2 linked regions of the Notamacropus eugenii genome follow. The protein of the gene in region 1 purifies or fractionates together with the protein of each later gene. This does not show direct contact. Links are inferred from orthologs where the notes say so. Each region holds a gene or a part of one and is shown on either strand. Other genes may lie near its edges.

The links.
Region 2: the proteins of BMP2K (region 1) and REPS1 purify together in Homo sapiens (affinity purification with mass spectrometry; 3 studies listed by BioGRID and IntAct, counting the BioPlex papers as one, with this or other methods). This does not show direct contact. The link is inferred for Notamacropus eugenii from reciprocal best matches to the Homo sapiens genes BMP2K and REPS1.

What each region holds. Positions count from the first base shown.
Region 1 is NC_092878.1:147,829,098-147,839,779, forward strand, and holds the start of BMP2K (BMP-2-inducible protein kinase), read right to left. Parts: upstream 4,533-10,682; 5' UTR 4,240-4,532; coding exon 4,059-4,239; intron 4,050-4,058; exon of another isoform or gene 1-4,049. UniProt on the Homo sapiens protein: May be involved in osteoblast differentiation.
Region 2 is NC_092873.1:225,491,005-225,501,627, forward strand, and holds the start of REPS1 (ralBP1-associated Eps domain-containing protein 1), read right to left. Parts: upstream 4,369-10,623; 5' UTR 3,913-4,368; coding exon 3,760-3,912; intron 1-3,759. UniProt on the Homo sapiens protein: May coordinate the cellular actions of activated EGF receptors and Ral-GTPases.

The sequences.
Region 1 (10,682 bases):
TACATACATATATAGTATTTTCAAACAAGCTTATCATGGGACAAATAAGTTACAATGTACACAAAGTATATATTGTTACAGAGTCGAATAGATTGCAACAATTTAGGTATTCAGTGTATTATGTTCCTTAAGGAAGAATCCCTGAAAAAAGAAACTGGGGGCGGAAGGGGGGAAGCAGAGACATGTCTTTTAGAGGCATCTGCATGACAAAAGTAACCTTCAGTGCTCAACTTCCAGCTTCTCAAGTCAGCGAAGTTTGTTTTCGGTTCACCAAACTTCTTCCTGTACCCTTTCCCCCTCAGAGGCCCAGAGAAGCTACATAATTTATGCACAAGGTCAAAGAGATAGGAGTAAGGGACAGTCAAGATAGGAACCCAGGTCCTCTGTTACCAGAGCCCTATCAGTGCCACTGTGTTCTCAGCCTCCCTCAAAAAGTATGCGTGTGCACATACAGATATAGATATAGATATATGTGGTACAGAAGAGGAGACAGTGGTTTTTGTGAAAAATGGGAAGTGGGGGAAACATTGTGGACTTAGAACCAATTAGTCAAGACTTGATACGGTTACCAAAAATGCTAATGCAATCTTACATCAAATTAACAGCAATGAGTTCACAATGAGTTAGGCTATATAGCCTGATGTAATCTGTCCTAACTGAACCACATTCAGAGATTCAGAGGACTGCTTGGTTCGAGGCACCACATTTTAAGAAACGAGCACAACTAGTTCAAAGGACGATGAACTGCATAACAAAGAGACTGGAAACCTTCCCACAGCACAGGTGATGGAAGGAACTGAGGAAGTTTAGCCTAGATAAGAAAATACTTCAGAGGGACATAACTGTTGTCTTAAAGTCCCTAAAGGGGTGACTATGTAGAAGAGAGATTAGACTTGGTTTTGCTTCCTTCAACAGAAATTTAAACGACTACTCGGTAAAGATCCCTGTGCAGCTCGTCACTGGGAGAGAAAAGAAGTTGAAATGGGACTCAGGCAAGGAAAAATTTAACAACTTAGAGCTGCCCAAAAAGTGGAATGGCCTGTTCAGGGATCTAGTGAATTTTTCACCTTCCAGAAGCGGCTGAAAGATCATTTCGTCCAGAATGTTGTAGGTGACATTCTGGTTCAGTTAAGAGCTGGTCAGGATCTCTCTAAGAGTCATTTCCACTCTTGAGATTCTACTATTCCACATGTCAGTTTAGCCACAATGTACTTGGCATATGCTATCAGAGGACTCTTTGAGGTATTCTCTGATCCCAGCCCTGCTACTTAACTTACTTGTGCAATTTTGGGCAATTCATTTGACCTCCCATGGTCTCTCATTTCTTCATGTGTAAAATGAAGGCACTGTACCAAATGAGAGGTTCTTAACCTGGGACCCATGAACTTATTTCTTAAATAATTTGATAACCATACTTCAAAATAATCCGTTTCTTTTATAATCCTATGTATTTTGTACAATTAAAAGCTTTATGCTAAAGGTTTGCAGGTTGACAAAGGGATTCATGGCATATAAAAAGTTAATTCCCAGACTACAGAGCCTTGAAAGGCTCTTTCAGCTCTAAAGTCTAGAAAGGTCTATTAGGGCTAATCCTAAAGGTTAAAGTGACTTAATCATTTTTGTCACCCTTTGAGAAATGAAGGAAACTAGGAAAGGGAATGGCCAAAGGGGTCTCTCCTAGGAAGACATCTTTGGAGAAGAGTCTTTAAGATCTAATTCCAGGAGCCTCAGGTACTGACCAGAGTAGAGGCCAGCAGGTGCCCTTCCCCCACAGACCCTGCAGTCTTCAACCTTTCTGCCTGACACTGGCTTCCCCTCCAACCAGAATCCAATTTCTACCCCAAGACTACCAGATACATATCTTATGAGTGATTTTTTTTTTTTGGCTGGGGAGCATAATTTGTGTCACTTTCTTGGCATTCAGTGATTTCTTTCCACAATACCCATCCTTTTGAGGCCCTGGAAGGTTTCTTCATGCTTTCTATATAATTTCTACTCCTAGTTATGAATATCCTGACAAAAATGTTATTGTATTATAAAAGATTACATATGGCACTCTACCAGCAAAATTTATTGTGGCTGAAAAATATTCCTTAATGGTTGTACTATTCTAATTCTACGTTTACATTTTAATTTACTCTCTGAAACTAAATAGAAAAAAGGCCCCTGAAATGACTCATGACTACTAAAATCTACAAACTTTCAGACTAATTTAACATTAGAACTTTAACAATCTGAGAAAACATCTCAGCTAGACATAACTTCAATTATTTAAGGCAGCACTTTAAAGAAAAAAGATGTTCATAGCAATACCTAAAATTAAACAGAGTTTGGTAAACTTAAAAAAGAATGAATTTGGCTAGCTCATCAAAAACTTTTTGGGGAAAAGCGGGAAACTGGAATTTTTTTGGTTTTGAGGCCAAGACCTCCTGCTCCTCCACCAAATATATTTCTTTTAGTTGTTATCTCTCTATTCAACTAGACAACTTATAATTTTAATCATTCACAAAACCATTCCACTTTTATCTCACTTTGATTTTAAATATTCAAATTCGTGAAGTTTCTCCTACACTATTAATCTGCTCATTGTTCAAGGTATTTGAAAACATACTAAGAAATGATGCATCTTAGAATTATTATTTTCAAAATACATACTTTTCTAAAACATTTATGGAAATGAAATACATCATACCTACTCTGCTCAATAATTGTTTTTCATTTTGGTTCTAAAAGAAGTATTTGCTATCACAAATAAATATATTTAGTTCTTCAGAATCTCAAACTCTCAATTTTAATACTGTTGTTCAGTCCTGTCTGATTCTTCATGACCCCATTTTTGGGTTTCCTTGACAAAGGCATCGGAGTAGTTAGCCATTTCCTTCTCCAGCTCATTTTACCGAGGAGGAAACTGAAGCAAACAGGGTTAAGTGACTTTCTCCAGGTCAGAGGGCTAGGAAGTGCCTAAGGCCAGATTTGAACAACTGAAGTTCAGTCTAAAGGGCTCCAGGCAAGGCTCTCAATCCACTACGCCACCTAGCAGCTCGAATTTGAATACTCCATTGATTTAAAACAACATTTAGCACAATACCAAACAACAAACCAACCTGCAGGGGCCGGGGAAAACAGGAATTAGCAACACAACAGAAAGTTTTCGGTAGTTACAGAGGTCTAGTCAATTACAAAACCGTAAAGCCGGGGATCTACAATCTCTTGAATGAATGAAATGGGTGTCGTGGCCAACGTGTGGAAAGTCTAAACTGATCTTTAAAATCTACTCTGCACATCGCTTTCACAGTCATTTACAATAATGAGAATACTGGGCAAAACGCTTATTCAGTTAAGGAAAACTCTAACCCGCTTTTCCATAACATCCTTTAAGAGCTACTAAGAAGCCAGCTTTACAAGCGTGACCATAATGGTGCGTCCCACGAAAGACTCACTTGAAAACCGCACTCAAGGCACGTGCTTCGTGCAATTTTTCAGGGGGAAGAAAACTTTTGTGCCAAGAGGTTCTTTGGCGCTATCGCTGAATGTCTGGGGTCAGCGGATGACATCCCTCCTCCATTTCTGCAGGAGATGGACTGGACCAAGTTCCAGCGCGACCCCGGGACGCAGACTAGCTGCTAGAGCACGCCTTTGCACGGTTTGGTTGCAATCAGCGTGGCTAGGGGCTGCCTGGGGGGTGGCGGAGTCGGAGGACCTGGGTTCAAAGCCCACCTGCCCTGCCCCTTTCCCTCTTCCGACCTTCTTTCACCCTCATCCCGTATATAAGGTGCAGGCACATAGTCGTCTGCATGTTTCTCGCCCCGTTACCCGGTGCTTTGACCTCTCTAGGTACTCCCCGGGCTGGGTGCCTGGGCTGGGCGGGTGGGAAGGAAGCCCGCGTCCTAAGGCTGACCGTGAGCTCCGGGAGGGCAAGGGACCGTCTTAACCCGGGGCAAGGCACACAGTAGGCTCTTAATGCGTGCGGTAAGACTTGAGCGGCAGCACCCAGCCCGGTCGCAGGGAGCGCCCCGACGCCGCGCCCCGGCCCGCCCTGGCCCTCGCGCCCCGGGTACCTTCGGCTAGCTGCTCCTCCAGGGTGACCTGGTAGCGGCCCACGGCAAACACGCGGACTCCCACGGAGGAGGCTCCGGAGCCGGCTCCGGCCCCGCCGCCGCCCGAGCAGCCTGGGCCGCCCCCTCCGCCCGCCCCGCCGCCGCTGCCCTCCGACTTGGGCATCCTGGAGAACTTCTTCATGGTGTCGCGGGAGAGGCCCCCGCGGCCCCGGGAGGCGCAGTCCTCGGGCACCGGCCGCCTCACATCCCGCGCGAGCGCGCGGGGACACCGAGGCCCGCGGCTCGAGGGCCCCCCGCTGCCCCGCGCGGCGAGCGGGCTCCGGGGGGGCCTAAGCTCCGAGGACAGCGGGGAGGTGGGGAAGGAGGGAGCCGGGCGAGAGCCGCGGGGCTGAGGCGCTGCAGCCGGGGGTGTCGGCGGGCCCGGGCTGCGCGCCCGCCCGCCTGCCTGGCCGCCCGCCGGGGATGTGCCGTCGGCGGCCGCTGCGCCGGGACTAACTGCTCCGAGCGGAGCTCCGCGCACGCGCAGCCGCGAGCGCCCCTCCGCCGGAAGTGACGCCCCGCCTCCGCGTCACGTGGCGCGGCGGGGGCGGGGCGCAGGCGGCAGAGAGGAGGGAAGGTGGCCCGGGGCGTCTCGGGCTCCGCGGAGGACCCGAGGTTTGAGCCGGCGGCTGCGAAGGGCCCCGCCCCCGTCATCCTACAGCTGAGGAAACTGAGGCCCGAGGGCCCCCGCAGCTCGGCTCCGAGCTTGGGCTGGTGGGGGGGCGGGGCCGCTCTCTGCCCGTGGCGAGGTGCCGGCCACCTAGTAGGTGCCCCAGAAATGCCGCTTGACTGACTGAGGACCTCTCCTCGTCTCTGCCTCCGCCCGTGCCTTCCTCAGGGGTCACCCATCCGCCCTCCGATGCCCGGGGGCAGCCAGGTGGGGCCTGCACTCCCGAGATCGGATCCGGCCTCCGCCACCGGGGAGCCGAGTGACCCTGGCCAGGTCACCTCACCCTCTGTGCCTCAGTTTCTCCATCTGTGAAACGAGCTGGGGAAGAAAACGCCAAACCCTTCCCGTATCTCCGCCAAGAAAACCCCCCAAATGGAAAGGGGGTCCACGCTGAAGAAAACGCCCTGTTTACTAGACTAGGGAATTTTACTGTGAGAGATGCTTCAGAAGTAAATCTAAACCTCCGTATTAAAATCCTGTATTTCGCGTGTCGGAGGCTGAACCTTAGGTCTTCCTGGATCTGAGGCTGCTGTCCTTTGTGGCAGTTTGCTTTGAAGAGCTTACCTGATGGTTGGGAATAAGAGAATTCCCTGCTGTATAACCTGAGGCAAGTCTCTGCCTCTCTGTCCAGCAGTTTTCTCATCTGGAAATAATCGTGAATTATGTATTAAGCTGCTAGCTTTCATTCTTTGTGTTTCCGACTTCGAGCAGTGACTGACCCATAGCAGGTGCTTGTGGATAGTTCGTATTTTTATAGCCCTTGAAGGTCTTACAAAATGCTTTAGCTTATTTGATCCTCACAATCTTACTTTCAGGTGTCTAGGTAGGAATTACAGGCAACCTTATCTTCCATTTACAAAAAAGGAAACAAGTCCAGACAGCTTCAATGGTATTGATCACAATCTGACAGTCTGTAAAGGACAGATCAGATTAGAACTCTAGCTGCTGCTACTGCAGCTAAAGGAATTGGACTAAATCATCTCTGAAGTCCTATCAAGCTATAAATTTATATGTGGTAAGTTCCATTAAGTAGAGAAAAATTTTATAAGAGTTGGGAGGAGGGAGACATCAACAGGGATTTCTCAGAAATGAGATTTGAATAAGACTTGGAAGGATGGGTGAGATTTTAGTAGGTAAGAGAAAAGAGCATTCATTTCAAGGAGTGGTTTAGAGGGTGTGAAGGTGTTTAGAACCACTACTTCAGTACCTCTTATTCTAAGTATTTTTGGGATATATCTGATCACGACATATTAATTCATGTTATCTTCTACCATCAATTTTCCAAAACTGTTGTTTTATTTCATTTTTTGATTTGACAAAATAATCTGATGATACGAGTTTAGGAGCATAGATCCAGAACTTGAAGAAATGCCAGAAGTCAGCAACCCCGTTATTTTACAGAGGAAGAAAAATGAGAGAGAGAGAGAGAGAGAGAGAGAGAGAGAGAGAGAGAGAGAGAGAGAGAGAGAGCCCGAGGTCACATAGACAACAAATAAAAGAGTGCAGATTCTGTACACAGGTGTTCTGATTCCAAATCCAGTGGCATAGCAGCACACTCAACCAATCCACCAATCAACAAGCATTTATTTAATGCAAGTTAAGTGTCAAACTTCTGGGCTGATGGGAAATACAAATACAAAAATGGGAATGATCACTCTGCTAAGAAGTTTGCTTTCCATCCAGGAAGACATACACGTATAGAAGGAAATACCCCATGCTGAATAAATACAAGTTGGTCAGGTAAAGAGGGGTATTTCTTAGGCTCTTGGGGAGATTCATGTGGAAGGTGATGCTTTGTTGTGATAGAAAGAAGTGACAGATCCTATGGTAGAAATGAGGAGGTAGCTTCCCAGGGTGTGGGGAGCAACCAGCACAAAAGTACAGACTCAGAAATGGAGTACCATGTGTGGGGAACATAGAGAAAGGCAGTTTGAACTAAAATAGATCATACAGTATGGGAAAAAGAATAACATTAGTTACAGGTTGTGAAGAGCTTTAAAAGCCAAAAAGTTTATATTTTAAAATATTTGATATTTTAAAAGTTTATAGATAAGTTTCTATTTCATTCTGGAGGGTGTAAATAACTCCTGAAGTTTATTTAGTAGGGGAATCACATGGTCAGATCACCACTTGATGATGAATTAAAGCCTTAAACCATAAGTAGTACCAAGTAAAAAACTCTTCAGTTTTCCCATAGTTAAGTAATAATTTTTATAAGCTCTTATCATACTGATTGTTGAACTACTACAGCATTGCTGTAACAATCAGTTTCAACCATCTCATTACTATAAGATCATACATTTATATGGTTGGCTGGTTTTACTACCAAAGAACTTTGACATTTATTATCACATTTTATTATCTGCACATCCTGGAAAGCTGGGTAGAGGTAGGTATTTGCCCATCACCTAATTTATAGGTCAGAAAATTGAGAAACAGAAGTGAGATTAAGTATTCACTAGTAAGGTAAAAAATCTAGTTTATGGAAGAATATTGTCTTGATGACTATGAGAAAACAGTCTATATAAATTCTAGTTAATATTGTGACGTGAAAGGACACTCCAGGGAGCCTAGCTCTCCATTACATAATTTAATGATGATCAAAAAGGGGAACCAGAGGTTTTTGAAAAGGACCAAGAAATCCAACGAGAAACATTAATGAGCTTCATGCAACCTGGGACTACACAAAAAGGCAGTAAAAAGCCACAGCACTGGAAGAGAGGGACCTCCAGGAAAACCAGCATGGGCTCAGGTGAACAGACCAGCCAGACCAGGCACTGACCAGGAATTCTGAAGGTTGCAAACGCTTAGAACCCAAACATGAAGGGAAGATAAAAGCCAGCGACTGGACACCTGAAAATCAAGGTTAGGATGTCATCCTTGTATCTAAAAGTTCTGGAGGGAAAGGAACCTGATCCAGGTTCAGTCTCAATCAGGAACTGAGACTGGAGATAGGAATAAATACAGCACAACCCATAATATAAAGAACCTATGGATCGAGATACCCAATAGGAAAACTCGGAACAAGAGCGTATTTCCAATACAAGCATAAGCAGACTAGAGGGAAATGGCTTGGTCAGTACAAGAGTACCTAGAGGAAATGAAACAAGAAGGAAAAAATGAAATAAAACCTCTGGAGAAAAAAATAAATAAATAGCTTAGGTGGTAAACCTTACCCAGATGGTAGAATCTTTGAAAATCAGTAGGGATCACATAGACCTTAGTGAGACAACAAAAATAATTGAAATAAAATGAAAATGTTTGTGGGGTTTTGGTTTGTTTTTTTTTTAAGAGAAGAAAATGTAAGATATATACTCTGCAAAACAACTGACCTGGACAATGAGTTGAAGACAGATTTAGAATCACCAGACTATCCGAAAACTATGCCCAAAAAATGAGGGAAGGAGGGGAATGGGCACTGGAAGGCCCATTTTAAGAAGGCATAAAGACTGCTCAGATTTCGGGGGGAAGGGGAGATCAGCAAATGAAAATAGAAAGAATACACAGATCACCTGCTAAAAGAAAACCCAAAATAAAAATCCCCAGGAAAGCCATAGCCAAAATACAAACTTTTTGGTCAAAGTAAAAATAATGCAAGTAGGAAGAAAGAAATCATTTAAGCTGAAAAGAAACTATGAAATGCCAACACAACAGAAGAAATCTAGAGTGCAAATCCATTTGAGCAATTAGACAATTAATTGATGAAGTACTTACATTTTAATAGAGGAGAAGAGACAAATGGCATCTTCAAGGCCACAGAAGGAATTAAATAAGACAAAGGGAATGATGTGGCTTTGTTCCTCCTCAAAAGTATGGGTTTTTAGAGATATGAGAGAACATGCCTAATGCGCTCCTTCCTGGAGGTGGGAGGTCCACAGGTTTTGCATATTGTATATGTTACAATCAGTTATACTGATTTTTTTCCCTCTTTTTAATTTTCTTTATTTTAGTTTTTAAAATACTATTTGTTATATGGAATGATTGTCTTGGGGAGAGGAAGATTACTAGGGAAGAGTATGGTATGTAAGAAACAAAACTTGCCACGATACTGAAGAATATTAAATGCTTAAATTTTTAACGTTAAAAAAAGAAAGTAGGGATTATTTCATTCTTTGTATTTCTATCACCTGAGCTTAGCAAAGTGCCTGGCACATAGTCTGACTTTAATAAATGCTTCTTGATTAAAAGAGGAAAGAAAAAGGATAAAGGAATACTATGAGGAAAAAAAGAGGAAAAAGGAAGTGAAATATATTTATCTCATAAATGGGATACATGAAAAGGGTTTACAAAGTAAAGGAGTTAAGGAATTGGCATTTCATGAAATTCATTTTTATCTTGAACTGTACAAAGGTGAATTACAGAAATACACACATGTATACAGAGTTTAATATAGCAATATATTAAACCAAACAAGGAAAGAGACGGGATCAGGATATGGGAGAGAAGGTTTTAAGAAAAGAGGAAAAAATAGTCTCAAGCAAAACAAACTTCAAACATCAAAGAGGGGATGGAAAAGAAGCAGTATTTGGGGGCAAGAAAAAGGAAGAACAGTCAAATGAAAGTTCATTCCAGCTACAGATCACTAATGTTAATCATATCCCTTCTCTTTCATCATCCACTTTGTAAAAAAAAAAAGGGGGGGGGGGCTAGGACCAAAGAGAGGGAAAAATGTAAAAGAATTCACAGTTATCAGTGATAACCATGAATGTAAATGGGATGAACTTATCTATAAAATGGGAGAGGATAGCAAAATGGATTAGAAAGATGGATCCAACAATATGTTGAGGGGTTTTTTTTTAAGGTACTTGAAACAAATGACAGAAATGAAACAAAATCCCCAAAATCTTTGCGATACAGTCAATATTTTTCTGGGGGGGGGGAATTTACATCAATTAAGACTTACACAAATAAAACAGAGAAAGAAGAGATCCCAGAATTGTGCATGCAACAACAACAGAAAAAAAAAAACACTAGAAAAGCAACAAATCAAAATCAAATCAACACTCCAACTCAATAGAGAAATGGAAATTCTGAAGCTCAAAGAAGAAATTAACAAAAAAAAATGAACTGATAAAGATTTGCTAATGTGATAAATGAGATGATAGTGATGACCAAAAGTAAAACTGTCAAGAAAGGAAAGAGCATCAGTGAAACATTTAAAAATTCCAAGAGAGCAAAAAGAAGTTCGGAGGGAAACAGAAAAGCAGAATGATTTTAGAATTTGTTATATACTTTAAAAAAATCTGTATGTAATAGAGATTTTAGTTTTATGTACAATACTCCCTTTCTGCTCATTGTATACAGAAGTGATTTTTTGTGAAAGTTCATAATTATAAAAGATAAAATTAAAAGGAACTCAAGATATACCTCAAGTCCAATGTCTGTTATTTTGAAACAAAATAATAGCCAACATATTTTCAGATGGCAGCTACATTGTTTTTACATTCCTATTTATGACTTTTGTTTTTGTTCACTTTTTTCAGTCATGTCCGACTCTTCATCATCACATTTTTGGGGTTATCTTGGCAAAGATACTATAGTGGTTTGCCATTTTCTTCATGAGCTCATTTTACAAATGAGGAAACTGAGGCAAACAGGGTTAAGAGACTTGTCCAGAGTCACACAGCCAGCAAATATCTAAGTCTAGATTTGAACTCAGGAACACCAGTCTTTCTGACCAAACCTGGTCCTCTATATCCACTGCACCACTAGCTGCTCCTATGTGTGACTATGTGACAATAAGCAATCATCTAGATTTTCTTGGCTTCTAAATGATTACCTGATAAACAGTCGGTCTTGTTATGGAGAGGAGATTCCACTAATCAGATGAGTTTGATTTTCTTTTTAAGTCAAACCAATTTTTGCCATGTGCACGTAGCTACAGCCAAAGACTTTCTGGCCATTCAGAGGTGACA
Region 2 (10,623 bases), on another chromosome or scaffold:
ACATTAATATATTATTAACTGAAAGTTTGGACAAAAAATATGAAAAGCTAGAAAGTAAGGTTTAGGTAGATAGCAGCTTTTCCAATGTGCTTTTGACTTGGAATATAGTGTTCCTCCAAATCTGAAATTCCCTCTGCCTTTCCTCCAATGAACAAAGTTCATTTAAATTATATATCATGCTCTCCCATGTGCTATGAATTATCTCAACTTTTTAGTAAGCTCCCTCCAAGTCATTCAGCTTGCTATTTAGTATTACAGAAGTACTGCTTCAGGGAGTTTCCACACTGTTGCCAACCCTGACTGCTTTTGTTATTTATTTATTTTTACACTTCACTCAGGGCAATAGAAAATAGGTCGACTATTTCTAAACACTGCCATAGTTCAATTGAGCAAGTCCAAGACACCAGGGATACAAAAACAAAGAGTTCCTACCAGCATTTAATACTTTCTACCACAATGTTCTTGTGGATAGTCTCTCTTCCCCAGATTATTGTGATCTCTCCTGACTTTCTTCCCATCTGTCTGACCCTTTCCTCTTAGTCTCCTTTACTAAGGTAATTCCATCCACATCTCCTATGTGTGGGCATGCCCCAGAACTCTATCCTGACCTCTCTTCTTTTTCTACACTCTCTAGTTTGGTAATTTCAACAGCTGCCATTGGTTTATGACTCTATTTAGAAAGATAACTGCAAAATGTACATATCTAGACCATCTTTTTTCTGAGCAGTGGTTTTGAAACACCTGCTGGACACTTCCATTAGGATGTCTCAAGGTATCTCAAAGACAACATTTCTAAAACTGAGTTCAACTCCACTTTACCCCCCCACCCCCAATGCCTTCTCCTATCTTTCTATTTCGGTTGAGGGCTTCTTACTATTCTTTCCACCACTCTTTTTCCAATCAGTTACCAAGTACTGTCAATCCAACCCGTGCAAAACATCTCTCCATACTGTCTCTCCATTCATGTAGCCAGCCACTACCTAGTCTTTTCTCCTGGACAAATGCAACAGCCTCCTAACTGGTCACCTGCATGAGTTTCTCCTTTCTCCAGTCCATAGTCCTTCACAAAGCTGACAAATTTATCTTCTTAAGGCACAGATCTGACCGCATCACTCATTTGCTCAAGGAGCATTGTTAGTTTTTCAGTTGTGTCTGACTTCATGACCCCATTTGGAGTTTTCTTGGCAAAGGTACTGGAGTGGTTTGCCATTTCATTCTCCAGCTCATTTTACGGATGAGGAAAATGAAGCAAGGGAGGCAAACAGTTACATTACTAGTCCAGGGTCAATGAAGCTAATTAAGTGTATTAGGTCACATTTGAACTATGGAAGAGAGTCTTGATTCTAGGTCCATTCTATCTGCTTTGTCACCTGTGCCACCTAGCTGTTCACAAGAGGCCTTAGTAATTCTCTACTATTTCTAGGATAAAAGATAAGCTTCTCAGTTTGGCATTTAAGGCCCTTCAAAATCTGGCTTGAAAACAAGCCATCAGGATGGATTTCACATTATTCTCCATGCACTCTATGTTCTGGCCAAACTAGGACAATTTCATAACTTAGCATTCCATCTCCCACCTCCAGACTTTTGCACAGGCTGAATCGCTCCATGTTACAAACATTTCCACTCTGACTCTTGGAATCCCTAGCGCCCTTCAAATCTCAATTCGATGATATTCAATGAATTCATTTTTTTTGTATTTCCACAGTCTAACACACAGTAGGGCAATCGAATTAGATATGTTTCATAATAGTGAAATTTTAGAATAATATGTGTAGATCTAACAAATTTTAAGAAAAAGGAGTAATTAATTCATTGTACCTATCAACATATCCTAAATCTGAGAACCCAGATTGTCCCCGAGTCCCCTCAGACTAGAAATTTATCATCAGTTTTCCTTTCCAATATAGTCTAAAACGAGAATATTCTTAACGTGAGGGATGAGTTTTTTTCGAGATTTTGATAATTATTTCAATATAATTGGATTCCTTTGTAATTTTATGTACTTTTAACTGTACTTTGATATAATTCATTTCCTTTGCAATTCTATGAACTTTATTTTATGCATCTAAAATTAAAATCACTCTTTTAAGAAAGGGTCCAAAGGCCTTAATGATTTAAAAAAAAAGTTTTTTTATGTTAAGAATTCCTACCCTAGTTTTAGTTCCAAAATAATACAAGAAATTCCCTAAAATAACATGCTAATTTCTATAAAAAGAAGCATACCTTTAATGAACTGCTCAGACACGATCACGGTTCAGTATTATACTTTTAACAAAACAGTAAGGCAACTTCATCTACTAAGAGAAGCCTGCAATTTCTAGCGGTCATCCAAATCTGATACATAGGACACTAAACTTTTTGCTTCAAGGTTAAATGAAGCAATTTAACATATACAAGATAAACAGATAGTACTCATTCCAGAGAGATATAGCTTACAGAAGATATGAGTTGTTATACCTCCAGAGATGCTACAATTTCCTATGTTTCTGTATATTTTCATAGATTAAAAGAATTTTGAAGATGGGAATGTCTAATGTACTTAAATTCCCATTTTACAACTTAAGAAATCAAAACTCAAAGAGATTAAATGACGAAGTGATGGAACTGAAAGCCACAGTTTCACATTCCTAGGCCAGTACATTTGCTCCTTTACTATGGAAGTGTATGCATTGATCTAAGTCTTGGTGATTCAAATAAGAGGCTTAAATCACTATGTTAAAAGTGAAAGGACCTATTAAAGATATCCTGTTTAGGCAAGATCTTTCTTGCTGCTTCTTAAATAGATATTATATTAAACATTAAAACACATTACAAACAGAACACTTCTTTTTCTTAAAGGCTAGGAGATAAAAAGAACAGCTTTTAAAATCAGTGTCTATTTTGCAACTATTTTTAGGATGAGTCAAATGTCCACAGTCTAGAGAGGAGAAAAAACATTTTAAAATCCGAGGGGTTCAAATGTTACCCTACTTTATAGGGTTCATTCAAGAGCAAAATCCCACTAATAATTAAAAGTTTTTCATTTCACATTTGTATGCAAAATATAAACTGATTTAGTTTTCTTTCACTTCTCCAAGGGCCTTTTACTAGGAAAAGAAAGGGATGGGAGCGGGGCAAGAGTAGAATTTTAAGTTTCTACCTGTTCGGAGAACTTTAATTCTCTGTTCTCCCAGCTACCCAACATTTTGTATCCAAAATTATAACTATACAAGTCTTTCTATTGAAATTCTTTCACGGGCAGAGCAGAGTATACAGAAAGTTATAAATCAATTTGACTCCAGTATTTGAGCACACAGTAGGTACCAGGCACTCACTGGGCTGGACGTAGGTCCACGTAGGTCCACGCCAAAAATCAAGGCGTCCCTGTCTGCGGCAAGCTAAATAGGGGCAAAATATGTACACAGATAATACCCAAGTGGATACTATAACTTGAAAACTTCAAAGTTTTATAAGACTGTTCTGCTGCTCCTCAACTATTCCTATGAAACTAGCCTTTACCTCTTTCTTTTGCTCACTTAAAAGTCTGACACCACCCACAGGCACCTGCTGCCCCCTTCCCCGGCTGGGAGCTAGAAACATTCAATCGGCCGATGCCCAGCCCTTCCGTCGATGCGGGGTCGTTTTCCTCCGGCCTGCGGCAGGCAGGCAGGTAGCGGAGCCGGCGCTCCAGAAGGGCAGGGGCCTGCCCGGACACCCACCCGGGCCTGGCCGACGCCAAGCCAGGAGGATCGCTTGGGGGAAGGGAGAGGGCGCACTTACCTGTAAGACCACCTCGTTGGGGAGTTGCGCGGCCCGGAACAGCTCCACCACCCTCCCGTTGGACGCGACCTTCTTGGTGCTCTCGATGTCGCAGTAGGAGAAGAGGTCGGAGTAGTATTTCTGCTCCGCATCGCTCAGCGTTAATCCCTCCATCTTCTTCCCCGCCCCACCCCCTCCCTCGCTCCTCGCCGCCGCCCCGCCCCGCGACCCCTGGGCGGCGGGGCCTCGGGCCCGGCTTGCCTCCGAGCCCCTCGAACTCGGTCGCGGGGAGACGGAGCGTGGGCCGTGCGCCAGGCAGCGCCCCTAGCCCGCCGCCCTAGCCCGGCTCGCAGGCACGCACGCACAGCGGGTCCGCTCCGGCCCGAGCCCCGGTCTTCCCCTCCCCTCTCCCCGCCGCCGGCGGCCGGGACACAAGCAACAGGGCTGGAGAAGAGCTGGAGAAGCGCAGGAGGCTCCGCGTGCCGCCGCCGGCGCCCGCACCTTCCGAAGGAGAGGCTCCCGCTCGCCCCGATCCGGAGCCGGCCCGGAGGCGCAAGGCCCAGGCTCGGGCTCGGGCTCCGGCACCCACCGCGGCGCCGCCAGGCGAAGGAGACCTCTCCTAGCCTACGCCTTCGCCGCGGGTTCGAGCCGCCCCCTCTACCACCCTCCCCCCTGCTCCCCACTCGACTTCCCGCCTAGCTTCCTCTTCCGCCCACCCTTTCGGGGTCAACCCCCGCGAAGAGCGGCTGCGCCCCGGGGAAAGTTGTGGGGCTTTTAAGCTAAAGTTTCAGGGGCGCCTGGCTGAGCGCGGCTGCCGCTCCGCCTCCCTCCGCCGCCATTTACTGCGCTCCGGCCCCACCACGGACGTGCCCGCACTAACACTGACAGCGGCCGCAGCGGCGGCGGCAGCGCCAGACCCGGATGTGAGGCCGAAGGCGAGCGAGCGCGAGGGGGTGGGGGCGGGGGGGAGAGGGAGAGGGAGAGAGAGAGAGAGACAGAGGAGAGAAAGAGAGAAACCCCCAGCAGAGGCGCGTGCCTCTCCCGAGAGAGGAAGGCGGAAACAGCGCCCTCTGCTGGTGGGCGCCCCCGAGGCGAGAGAAGCCCAGCCCGGCGGCGTCCCGCCCCCTAGGCGCAGCCCAGCCCTAGGAAATGTCCAAAAACATTTTTTTCCCCTGTCGGGGGTCCCCCAGGCCTGGAACGCTCTCCCTCCTCCGCGCCCACCACTGACCCCCTTGGTTTCCTTGAAGTCCCAGCTAAAGTCCCACCGCCTACAGGAAGGCTTCCTTCACTTCTCTTAATTCCAGGGCCTTCCCTGTTCGTTATTTCCTGCAGCATGCTTTGTGTATGTTTGTTTGCACGTGGTTTTCCCCATTCCGAGGTAAGTTCCGAAAGCAGGGATTCTCTTTTGCCTCATTTTATCCCCAAAGTACTCAGCGCAGATAAATAGTAAAATGGCTAATGTGTAATGAATTAAACTGATGGCAGGGGTGAGGGCATCGGTATCATTATTATTATTATTATTAATCATTATTGTTGTTACATTGCCCAAGGGGTGACTCTTTATTACTAGTTCTACAATAACTATGATTTATTTTTTTTTAATAACTAAGCTTGATATCGATATCGATTGGTGTAACACTTTTAGTTTTTCAAAACATCCACATTAACGGCTACACAGGTGCCTTTTTACTCTCCCAATCTCCCTGGGAAGTAGGTAAGTTCTTTTCTTCTTATCCTTTCCTTTTGCACCATGAGGAGAACTGAACACCCAGGGATCCCATTTCCATCATTCCAGACCTCCAACTTGGGACAAGTCAGGTCACTTCTCTGGACCTCAGTTTCCTCATTTGTCTGTGGGGCCTGGGTGGTTTATTGTCACTCAACCCTACTCAAACTGTGTTACAATATCCCGATATCTTAAAGAGATGAAGCAATTCTCTATCTTTCAATTTTAGTAATTGGTTTTAGACTAAATGTGATAGCTTTGGAACTGGAATGACAGTACCCAGAAATCCTATTTGGATTGGTTAAAGTAACCTGATCGCACCCTAGGAGTTCTCTATGAAGTTATCAAGCTAGTTCAGATGAGAAGATTAGAACAAGTGTGACATTCCAGTAAAACCCTTGAGAAGGGACCTGGGGAGAGGAAGGAAGGAGAAGCCTCAGCTTTCACCTCCATCTAGATCCCCATTTTGGCCAAGGGAGGACCTTGCAAGCTTCCCAGGATCCATACTATTTTGTACTTCTCATTCATATCTGAACACTATCTTGTGGGATATTAGTAACAAGGTGTAATTTAGGGAGGGCATTTTTACTGTTCTACCAGGAGCTTGGCAAAGAAGTGACAGGATGCTTAAGGAGAACTTCTTAAGTACCCTGGAATGGAAGAAAAGTTCTTCAAGTAACTAGGAGTTATGAGTTACCTCTTTGCCACGTGTACTTTCTGCATCTGAGTCCATTTTCCCTTGAACTCTGTATGTACTGCTGGGAGAGTATGTCATTGAATGACTTTCTACCAACTATGATTAACTGAACTAAGTAAATTACCCTTTCTGAAAGCTAATTGATGATTATTGACTAAATGATACTCATTGATAATCATGCTGGGAAGTATGAACACCAGAATGGGGGATTGAGCTGAGAGTGCTAAAAAGACATTCCCTCCCCCAACACCTTCAGGTAACACATAGATCCCTGAAGGCATCATGATAACCACTTAAGGGATCTGACTCCTCAGTGTAAATGTGAGTTGGGATAGACAGCATGGGCTACTGTAAAATGAAGGAGGTGGGACTAAATAGATGGTCTCAAAGGTCTCTTTCAGGGCTAGATCTGTCTATAATCTCATGATCCTACTCATCAATAGAGTTAGGTCTTCCCTAACATTTAAGTTCATTGTCGAGGCTTAGGAGTCTAGTGAAATGGAAAGAAGTTGGATTTGAAATCAAAAGACCTGGGTTCAAATCCTAGTTCGGTTATTCTGTGTCACAATTGCTCTGTGTTTCAGCATTCTTATCTCAAAAATAAGGAGATTAGATGAGATGAAATTTGAATTCCTTTCCAATTCTAAATCTGTGACCCTAAAGCATACAACAGAGTAACCTGCCATCAGAGGGACCATGAGTTGACTGGAGGCTACATCAAATCTCTCTATCCCATCTGGAGGGAAAGTTTCTGCATACCTTGCCAGGCAAATAGCTGATTTTTTTTTAGCATAAATTGACCCCCATTCCCATATTTAGATTCCATAATAACATTTGCCCTATTGCAGGTTAGGCTGGAAGGATGAAATATTTTTATTCATTATGATCTTATGCTATATATACATATTATTCCCAAGTATTTAAGAATTCAAGAATTAATAAATATTCCCAAGATAATTACTGTTTTGTGGTGTCTCTTGTATGATTCCATATTGAATTCACATCCCAATTTCAAGTGTAGGCTTACACTTGATACTCCTCTCTCAACCCTCTGATGTGTTCATTACTGCCATCCCTTTGATGTCAGATATCACTGAAGATAAACTCAAATTCCTCCTCCCAAAGCTTGTTCCTGGAGCCTCACAAATATTTGAAGATTTCAACATCAACAGTAACTGTTTATCTGAGAAGCAATAGTTTGCTGAGTAGAGGAAAGGTGAAACTAATTTGGTACGTATAAATATTTTAGATTATCTAACACAAAGTGTGCCATTTCTTCTGTCCTGTGTCTTAATCTGAAAACAATCTCTTTTTCTGGAAACCTGCAGAATTTAAGGTACGTGCTATTTAATCTTACATTTCTGTTTATATAGCAGTCTGTAATTTGTAAAACACTTTTCCCTCACTGACCCTGTAAGACTGGTAAGGATTATTATTATCATTTATTTCTGGTGAGAAAATAAGGCTGAACAGAATTCTTATTTGTCCACAGTCAAACCACTAGTCCATTGCTCAGTCCAGGATACCATATCATCTTCTTTACATCTCATTTAAAATAGCCAACATTTAGATAATGTTTTAAATTAATCATCACAGGAACTGTGTAATTTAAGTGTTATTATTATCCCCATTTTACAGATGAATGTTGTTGTTCATACTTTGTTTTCAGAGAGGACCAGTGACATCATGGGGTACATAAATTGGATTTAAGTGAGTCAGAGTTGCACAAAATGGTCAGCATTACTCTGTCTTCTAGAGTTATTGAAATAACAGTGGCAAGACAAAAGTCAAGAAGACTGATGATGGCCTGGGATGTAGTGGATCATCTTGGTATCTTTGATGTCTGACCAACCTCTGTGTGCTCCACAGTGCCTGCTTCAGCTTCCTTCATGATTCTTAGAACAAATTGTTGTCATCTACCCATTCCACCAAAAGAAAACTTCATATGCTTGAAGTAGATATCCCCCAACTCACTGAAGAGTTTCTGACTTACTTAGCCTGTCTGACCAGACAGATGTGGCTACTGCATGTGCTATAGCTTCTTAGAGCCACAAGTGAGTGGAAACTGAGACTGAGAGGTTAAAGTGACCCAGAGCCTTCAACTAGTAACCGTGAGGCGGGATTTAAACTCATGTCTTCCTAACTCCCAGGCCAGGACTCAGTCCATTGTGCCATCTACACTTTACATATTAATATTTTAAGTAACATATGAGTTGGAACTTTTCCAAGTCTAAAGGCTTGACCACACCAAAATTTGTAGAGGGAGGAATAGTCTATCAAAAAATCTCTTTGCTCTCTAATCTGACTGACCAGATAGGTGTCAGCAACCTTTGCACTCTCCTATTGATTTAATTCAGATCAACTTCACAACTGTTTATTTTTCAAGTAACTAGTTACAAAGTATTTATTAAGCACCTCCTGTTTGCCAGGCACTGTGCTGAGCACTGAGGACACAGCAAAAATGATCTAGTCCCTACATACAAAGAGTGTACATTCTCATAGGGGAGACAACACATGCATATATAAGTATACACAGAATATATACAAGGTAATTTTGGGAGAGAAGGCACTAGTAGCTGGGGATAAGCACCTACTTCACACAAAGCACTTTGCTAGGTGCTGAGGGAAATGCAGTGTTTAAATAAACCGTAGTCCTTGACTTCATGGAGGTTAATTAATTAGTTAATGAATTAATAGGAGACATTATTGCCATGTTACTGACTTATTAGTAAGCACCTACCTCAAAGGGTTGTGAGGAATAAGACAAGCTAGGTAAAGTTTTTAGCAGCTCTGCAAAAGTTAGCTACTCTTACATATCATAAGTAAATTAGAAGAACATGGAACATATTACCTATCAGATTTATGGATAGAAGAACTTATGAATAAACGAGAGAGCATTTTGAGATGTTAATTGGATGGTTTTGATTACATTAAATTAAAAAGGTTTTGCACAAACAAAACTAGTGCAGCCAAGATTAGAAAGCAGAAAATTAGGGGAAATTTTTATAGACAGTTCCTCAGAAAAAGGTCTCATATCTCAAATATACAAAGAACTTAGTCAAATTTATAGGAATATGAGTCATTGCCTAATTGATAAGTGGTCAAAAGATATGAACAGACACTTTGGGGACGAGGAAAGCAAAACTATATATAGTCATATGAAAATTGCTCTAAATCATTATTGCTTAGAGAAATGTAAATCAAAATAACTGAGATACCATCTCATAACTATCAAATCAGCTAAAATAACAGAAGGAGAAAATGACAAATGTTGGAAATATATGGAAAAATTGGGACACTAATACACTGTTGATGGAACTTTGATATGATTCAACCATTATGCCTAAGGAGTTATAAAACTATGTATACCTTTTGACTCAGCAATACCACTATTAGGTCTGTTTCCCAAGATGAGCATGGAAAAAGGAAAAGAACCTATATGTTCTATAAAATATTTATAGCAGCTATCTTTGTGATAGCAAAGAACTGGAAATTGAGGGGATGCCCATCAGTTGGGGGATGGCTAAATAAATTATGGTATGTGATTGTGATGAAATACTGCTATAATGTAAGAAATGATAAGCAAGCTGATTTTAGAAAAACGTGGAAAGACTTGCATGAAATAATGAGTGAAATGAACAGAAAGAAAACTATTTATAGTAACAGTAGGATTGTACAAAGAGTAACTGTGAGATAGAGCATCTTAAAGAGAAATCCAGGTTTCCAGGCACACCAAAGAAGTGTAAAAGAACCATATTGGGGATAAAGAGGAATTTGTAAATAATGGAATAGGGATTCCAGAGGGTATGATAGGAGAGAGCAAAGGAAATCATAGGGCTGAGCTTGTGGAGATGACGGGAGAGAGGTTTTCACTTTGGCAGACAGAGAGTCTGGATTATAGAGGTTGAGGAAGCAAGAGGTAGAAATGTGTTAGCCATGAGGCTAGGGAAGGCGAAGTATCAAGTATGGGAAAGCTCAACAGTGATGGTAACAGCAGGAAAGATGGTCCCATGGTGAAAAAGGACCTCAACAATTGCCATTTCCTCAGTTGCTATCTCTAGATGTAACCCCCTTAATGACATAGAGCAAGTGACAGATGATGGTATCAGATGATGGGAAGATCTGTGTCTATCTACTTCCATAATAATGACTTTTATTTCCAGTTCTGTCCTTGCTAACCACCCTATAATACAACTGCTTAAATACAGCCACTCAAATTCAGCCTCATAAAGTGTTCTGATATCAAATTACCTAATGTATTATATCCTTTTTTTCTCTTATTAATAGCTGTACATTTAATTTATTTTCCAAAAATACAAAGGTATTTTCTGTGATTTGGGAATGCTAAAGGTTGATAAGGAAGCCTGAAATTGTGGCTTGACCTTAACTGCTATAATGCTTTCTATAATATCTGGTCTTTATAGGTCTAGATCCTTTTCTTAAGTGTATGAGATTGGACTTC